Linked DNA regions of Anolis sagrei. The protein of the gene in region 1 interacts with the protein of each later gene in a pairwise test. Links are inferred from orthologs where the notes say so. Each region holds a gene or a part of one and is shown on either strand. Other genes may lie near its edges.

Region 1 (3,928 bases):
CCTACAAAGGTCTAATTTGTCTTTACCTCTGGAGAGGGTCTGAGGTAATTTGGGGCGGATTTCATTTATTTCTTTTGTGTCCTTCTTCTCATTTTTAGCCAAGGTACATGAGAGAGCAACCAACAAAAGCAACACTGATATTAAGGTTTTCTCCATGGCTTCTGTTAAGGGAAGAAGAAAAAAAGCAATAGGTTTATTCAGACAGAAACCAAAAAGTGCTAGAAAAACAACAACAGTAAAATAGAACAAACCTTCAGCTCTAGTGGATTAAATCACAAATGCTAGCACAAAATTGCTTTGTTCCATCTCAGGTGCAATGGATAAAAGATAACAAATGTATGTCATGAGCTATATATAACATAAACTTATATGTGGCTACCCATAATGAAGTCTTACAGCTATTATTGGAGTCTTATTTCACAGGTAATAGCGTAAAAGTAAAGACACATAGGACTATTTTGCTAGAATATGCTGACATTTTGAGAGATTTTTTTAAGGCTTTCATGGCCAGAATCACTGGGTTGTTGTGAGTTTTCTGGACTGTATGGCCATGTTCCAGGAGCATTCTCTCCTGATGTTTTACCCACATCTATGGCAAGCATCCTCAGAGGTTGTGAGGATGACAACATTTGCGGAAACCTCTGAGGATGCTTGCCACAGATGCAGGCAAAATGTCAGGAGAGAATGCTTCTAGAACATGGCCATACAGCCTGAAAAACCTACAACAACCCACTTTTTAAAGTTTTTTTCTGAACTATTTAAAAAGCTATGATGTTTTTCTATAGTGTGGCATTATTTAGCTAATGCAAAAGAGAAGTTAGATAGTGGAGTTTGCAGATGTGACTATTGCTTAACACATGAATATATAATTCCGAACAATTCACAATCATATTAAAATCTGATGGCAACAAAACCTTGAATGGTAAAAGGTTCTTAAATTGGGCATATGAGCATCTTCTTAACTAAATAAATTTTGCCTTAACAGAGGTTGAAATAAAAAAATGCACAACTTTGAGTTGCATATCTGTAACTGATTTGTCTTCATGATCCCTATGTACTCATGATCAAGACAGTGGTGTAGGAATAGTTAGGGATTACAAAAGTTTCCCAATCCTACTTTAATAGGAAGTCATTGTGAGCAATGAAGATCTGTTCTAATGTCAATAAGGAGGCATCAGACTCCTGCCAGTCATCCCCACTGTTAGGAGGAATTAAGACAAGGATTATGCTTTTGAATGTTACACTGGATGGACATCACTAGTACAAGGGTGGCAGAAAGGTCAGCCTACTACATTCTGATCAATAGAACTGCTCTCTTGAGTTAGCTAAATAATACCACACTATAGTAAAACATCATAGCTTTTGAAATCAGAAAAAACCCCAAAAGCTCTCAAAATGTGAGCATACTTTAGCAGAATAATCCTATATGTGTTTACTTTTACACTATTACCTGAGAATGTATCACTTGCAGCACCCTCAGAAGAAGCCAATGGTACCCCCCCCCCCGAAGATAATCCTGTTATATATAGTTTGGTTTAGGGTTGTCTTGAAGGTACCCTTCAACAATACATACCCTACAATAACAAATACTTCATTAGGCATTCTATTATTTATTTACAGTTTTTCTATACCGCTTTTCTCACCCGTAGGGGGACTCAAAGTGGTGAATTCTAGAACTGTTTGGAAACAAATGATGATGACATTATTGTCAAAACTCCAATTTTAAACCCATTTAAAGCACAAACCTAGTCATATTTATAATAGATCCATGGAAAATGAATGGGATTGCCATTATCTGGGTTCAGTGGATTGTATCCAACAGTTCCCTTCCTTCAGTGGAATGGGCATGGCTGATATATCAAATTATCCATCTTCCTGAGGTTCCCTTGAATGGTCACCCCCACCCCAACTGGGTTCCCTTCAAGTAAAGCTAAATCCTAATCACACTAATTCAGAATTAAGTTTTGACTGCTAATCAAAGGATCAAATTTCTAGATAAATTTGAGATCAATTTTGTGTTTAAACAGATATACTAAATTTGTTTTAGAATAAATGCCATAGGACACAATTGAGTAAACATGACCAGGATTTTGTTTTTTCATGAGATACAGGGAAATTCAACATGGGAATTTTGGGAGGAGTTGTTAATGCAAGTTACAAGGGTTGTGTGTGTGACTGTAGGTATTTTAAGTTATTGGGGGGTGGGTTGGGTTAATATTGCTCAGCACAAGTCTTTTCGCAACACTATTATAATAGCCATTTGAAACATTCACATGTGAGAAAGGGTAAAAAGAATATGTAGACAGAAATCCCAGAAGGTGTATTTACAGATACATAGAAAGACAGAGAGAGGGATGAAGGGAGGCAGGGAGGGGGAGAGAGAGAGAGCAATGTGTTCCTGGCACTTTCTCAGAAAAGTGAATTGAAGCTATATCAATGAACATAAGAAAATGCATCTTCACAAAAATGAAAGAAACCCTCCAGTTGCCAAGCAGGAAGTCAAAAAGAAAGAAAGAAAAGACACTAAAGACTAGTGAATAGAAAATGGAAAGTAAAAATCAACAAATATTCTGTCCTTTAAAATGCATTACACTTGTTTATAAAGCTAAATGCATTTTTCTCATCATAAATATAGTTAGCAGAACATGGAAGTGCAGGGGAAAATTAGCATTGCCTTGTTTGTATTCTTTTCGATTGGAATTCTACTGCTTTTAAATGCTTAAAACTTCTCAAGTCTTTTGTTTGCAGGTGGTTAAAAAGGAACCTGACTCACAAGATTAGAGTTTAAAACCCAGTCCTTTGCCAAGCATGTGCTGTTAGCCTTACCTTTTCTGCCTGCCTTCTTCTTTGAGGGACAGCTGAAGTGCTCCAAGTTTCAGTGTGAACAAGGAAAGTGTGGAGTGCCTATTTATGTACCTGGGCACACCTTATCCCCACCCAGAAGTATGGCATTTCAATACTTCCACTGTATGGAGTAACTTTTTCATTTTAATTTATAGATATATTTAAAAAATAAGAAGTTTTCAGAGAATTGAACAAAGAATAGCATCATCTCAGTGTTTCAGAAAAGTAAACTTTCTGTGCATTTAAGAAGGTTTAAGAAATTATATTTTAAAATGTGGGCAAGAAGCCAAGTCCAGGTAAGCATAAATCAAGACTTCTGATTTGCCTGAGGGCTGATTTGTCTTTGTGTGATTGGATAGATTCTTTCACCTAAGGCACATATCTGTGATTCCTTTGAGAAAATGAAATTGACTATTCAGACATAGATTCAGAGTGAACGTGGTAATTGTTTAGTGCATGACAATACACCAATGTATGGAAAATGGCTATGAAAACACAAGCAGGTTCCAAATTAAATGAACCAACTTGTCAAAATAGCTGTAAACTGCACTCAGGTTTTTGAAACTGTGTGAAAATATACATCTTCAAAACTGTTTTTACATGCTTTCACTGTAAAGCCAGTGCTGTGCTTGAAATAGTGGCGGTTTCCTAGCAACGTTACTAAGAGATGCTGCACAGATTGCAAAGTGAAGGTTTATGCTAGGGATGCTCTGTCCTTTCAATAATGCCATACCACATGGATTGATGAAAGGTCAACATGCTTGACCTGTTGAGAAGATGCATTGCACGACCTATGAAGAGGTTGTCACATTTTGATTGTTTCACATTGTGACTAGTCCACCCACATTTACTATGTCATGATAGAGCCTCTAAAAGGATCAAGCAGCTGCGTAACAACCTCATTACATGCCAAACTGGGTACAGAGCCATGCAGTCTATATTCCTCACAGTCCCCTTTGATCTTATTAATTGGGATGTCATTCTTTGCAGTCCAATTGATTTCCCATGTATCCCCAATTAATTTGATTGGTAGCTAATCAAAATCATAGAGTTAGAAGGGGCCACAATTAGCTCTTCTTTCAAC
Region 2 (3,928 bases), on another chromosome or scaffold:
GCATCCCTAATGCTTCACCACTCCCAAACAGTCTGAAATATTAGGGATAGAAAACAGCACAATCTTCCTGAATATCAAATGCAGTGGCAAAGTTCGAAAAGATCATAATATAGAAAAGCCTGCTCTCAGGTCAGTCTCTTTTGCCCCTGTGAACCGAGACACAATAACAGCTGGCTCTCTGTTCAGGACAAGCTGGTCTTGTTTGCCTTGGCTAACCTCTGTTCACTTTCACAACAGGTATTTTGCATTTCAAAACTGAAGGAATCAAAATACAAGAGGCACAAACTTCAGGTCTGGGGGGGGGGGGGGGGAGGAAACCTATCAGACATCTTCCAGGGTAAACATGGCCAGGAAATAGTCTAGTTTCCCATCCTCATTTGTAGATTTGTAACTTGAAGAAAGGGGCACCTTCCTACAAAATCTGGAAGGACAGAATAGAGGCAAATCTGTGTTCTTTGTGTAAGCCAATATTTGTTTGTTTTTTTTTCAGCTTGCTGAGAAAAGACACTACTGCTACTACAACTAATATTACTACTAATAATAATTGCTCGCTTGTTGGAATAAATAGAGTTTCAGTGAAGCCACGGCACAACCCTGGTTGGTTCTTTTCACCCAAGAACCAACTGAGGACCCTTCCACATAGCCATATAATCCAGAATATCAAGGCAGAAAATCCCACAATATCTGCTTTGAACTGGATTATCTGAGTCCACATTGCCATATAATCCAGTTCAAAACAGATAATGTGGGATCTTATTCAGCTGTGTGGAAGGGGCCTCAATCTGTTAGTCTAAGCTGCCCTTGTGGTGACAGTAAATTCATTAATCACAGTTACCTTCAACAAAATCCTGACAAATAACTCCACAGGCTTTGCAGGCTTTACTCAAAGGGAAAACTCAGAATCAATAAAGGAGATTTACTGTATAGCGTCATGTGACTAATTGCACTTTAGTCAGCCACATCGGTGTGTGAATTGCTTTCAAGATAAGAGAAGGCATATATTTCTGGACAAAGCTGTAGTATAACCCTGATTGTACAGAAAATAAAATCACGTCTGCTTGAATCTTCCCTATCACAGCTGGCAGTCATGGCATTTGATGGCACCTGGAAAGTGGAGAAGAGTGAAAACTATGAGAAGTTTATGGAAGTAATGGGTGAGATATGCATTCTTTTTGCTTCCTATCAGCAGCCATGTACTATATCATTGCGTTGGAAAGATCTGGAGGTTCTTTCACACTACACATATAGTGCTATGATTCCAGTTTAAATGCCACAGGCACATCCTATAAGAGGCTGGAGATTGTACTTTGGAGAGCTTTCTGATTGAGAATTCTGAATGGCCTGCCCTAAAATGCAAATTTCAGAAATCAATAGATGTTACCAAAGCAGTGAGAGACGCCTGGTAACACATACAGGCGTCCCCTGGGCAACGTCTTTGCAGACGGTCAATTCTCTCACACCAGAAGCCACTTGCAGTTTCTTAAGTCGCTTCTGACATGATTAAAAAAAATGCAAAGCAGTTAAAAATGAAATGACGATTGTATAACTGTGTAGTGTGAAAGGGCTCGTGGTTACTTCATTTAATTCACAAGGTTAGTCCCTGACATTCTACTTTCTTGTCCTCATGGAAACTACTAACATTGCATTCTAAATCTTATTTCTTTGCTCTCCAAACTGGTTTTTCCTCAAAATATAATGGGATTTACATAAGAGTTGATTCAGCCCTTGATTAAACAATCTGCTTCAGTTGAGACCTGCAACTGAAAGAGACCAGCCCTTGTCACTTTAAGTGTTAAGGAAACAGAAACTTGGATCCAGCCTTCCTTCAAGAATAAACCCATAGGACAAGTTGGTTGCGAGTCAATTGATTTTGTAGGGTCTGGATCCTCTGTGTACATGTGTCTTCAAGTTGCTTGTCAACTTATGGTGATTCTATTCATTTCATAATATTTTCTAAGATGAAAAATTATCAGTTTTTATTGCTTGAAGGTACTAGAACAGGCATGGGCCAACTTTGGCCCTCCATGTGTTTTGGACTTCAACTCCCACAATTCCTAACAGCCTACCGCCAGTCCAAAACACCTGGAGGGCCAAAGTTGGCCCATGCATGTTCTAGTACCTTCAAGCAATAAAAACTGTGATAATTTTTCAAGATTTTGCCAAGCTGTTTAGAATTATAGAGAGAACAATAAGAAAGCAAAATGCAACACTCCCCTAAAATCAACGGACTCACAACCAACTTGTCTTATTAGTTTCTTTTTTTTTTAAATATGTTTATTTAGAATATAGTGCTCTAAGGAGAGCTGAAAGGAAAGAGGTGTTTGGTGCACTAGGACAATACGAACGAACACAAAAACAGACAAACAGACAAACATACCACTAGATATGTTACGACAGTATGTCAATAATTAGTTTCAATGGGTTTATCCTTGAATCATGGCTGGATCCAATTTTATGTTTATTATTCTCTTTCAATAACTATCTCAAAATAACATGTAAAATCTCCTCATAACAGACAGACATGATATTATATCCTCACGACAACCTCACAAAAGAAATTAGTCTGAATGATTGCAATAGTTCTAGAGTCGTGTGTGTGGTGAACTTCATCATATGGGTTTAAATCTGTGTCTCCCAGAAACTATTTCATTTTTTCCAGTCATTACAATTACAATCAGACCACCTAGTGGCGCAGCAGGCTAAACTGCTGAGCTGCTGAACTTGCTAGCTGAAATGTTGGCAGTTTGAATCTGGGGAGCGGGGTGAGCTCCCGCTGTTAGGCCCAGCTTCTGTCAACCTAGCAGTTCGAAAACATGCAAATGTGAGTAGATCAATAGGTGCTGCTTCTGTGGGAAGGTAACAGCACTCCATGCAGTCATGCCGGCCACATAATCTTGGAGGTGTCTAGGGACAACACCTGCTCTTTGGCTTAGAAATGCAGATGAGCACCAACCCCCAGAGTCTGAGATGACTAGACTTAATGTTAAGGGAAACCTTTACCTGTATTTACAATTATAATATCAGCCACTTCTGTTATTTTGAAAATGCTTTTTTACAGAACAGAAAATCCTTTCGCTGTGTGCTTAACTTGCTTTTTCATGTACCTTCCTAGGTATTAATTTAGTGAAGAGAAAGCTAGGAGCTCATGACAATCTGAAGCTCACAATCCAACAAGAAGGAAACACATTTATAATCAAGGAGTCCAGCAATTTCCGTACCATAGAAATAGTGTTCAATTTGGGAGAGACCTTTGACTATAGCTTGGCAGATGGAACTGAACTTCAGGTAAAAAAGCCTCGTCTATGATGGTCTGGTCTTGCTTGAAAAATCTGCTGTTAAGAGGATACAAATAAAAGTGATTCCTGTGTTTTGCTTACTGGCATATTAAGAATGCTTTTGTCTTTGTTCATGTTACAGGGCAACTGGGACGTGAAAGATGGTAAACTGGTTGGGACATTCAAACGCAAAGATAATGGGAAGGAACTTTTAGCACTGAGAGAAATTGTAGGAAATGAAATGATACAGGTAAGTTCATCAGAAACAATTGATAGATCTGTTCATTTAAAAAAAATCACACTTGTTTCTTGACAAAGAATGAGTGTAATATTCTTAAACCCTTATTCCTTCATACTGCCTCATAAATACAGAGTGGAATTGGGTATATAAAAAGAAGGCAAGATTGGCTGGCATTTTCCTATCCAAGCCTATGTTGTTTACTGATTTCAGGTTTCTCAACCTGGAGGTTGGGACCCCTGTGGGGAGGATTGTGAGGGGTCATCAGAGGGGTTGCCAAAGGGCATCAGAAAACAAAGCATTTCACAATCTCTGAGGATGCCTGCCATAGATGCAGGTGAAATGTCAGGAGAGAATGCTTCTGGAACATGGCCATATAGCCTGAAAAATCTACAATAACCCTCTGTTGGTTATT

What was found.
Region 2: the proteins of AGR2 (region 1) and FABP2 interact in binary tests that used the Homo sapiens proteins (3 or more experiments, as listed by UniProt). The two-hybrid records come from large-scale screens. The link is inferred for Anolis sagrei from reciprocal best matches to the Homo sapiens genes AGR2 and FABP2.

Annotation. Positions count from the first base shown.
Region 1 is NC_090026.1:96,009,565-96,013,492, reverse strand, and holds the start of AGR2 (anterior gradient protein 2 homolog), read right to left. Parts: upstream 2,919-3,928; 5' UTR 2,827-2,918; intron 162-2,826; 5' UTR 157-161; coding exon 27-156; intron 1-26. UniProt on the Homo sapiens protein: Required for MUC2 post-transcriptional synthesis and secretion. May play a role in the production of mucus by intestinal cells. Proto-oncogene that may play a role in cell migration, cell differentiation and cell growth. Promotes cell adhesion.
Region 2 is NC_090025.1:35,489,163-35,493,090, reverse strand, and holds the start of FABP2 (fatty acid-binding protein, intestinal), read left to right. Parts: upstream 1-974; 5' UTR 975-1,087; coding exon 1,088-1,154; intron 1,155-3,112; coding exon 3,113-3,285; intron 3,286-3,417; coding exon 3,418-3,525; intron 3,526-3,928. UniProt on the Homo sapiens protein: FABPs are thought to play a role in the intracellular transport of long-chain fatty acids and their acyl-CoA esters. FABP2 is probably involved in triglyceride-rich lipoprotein synthesis.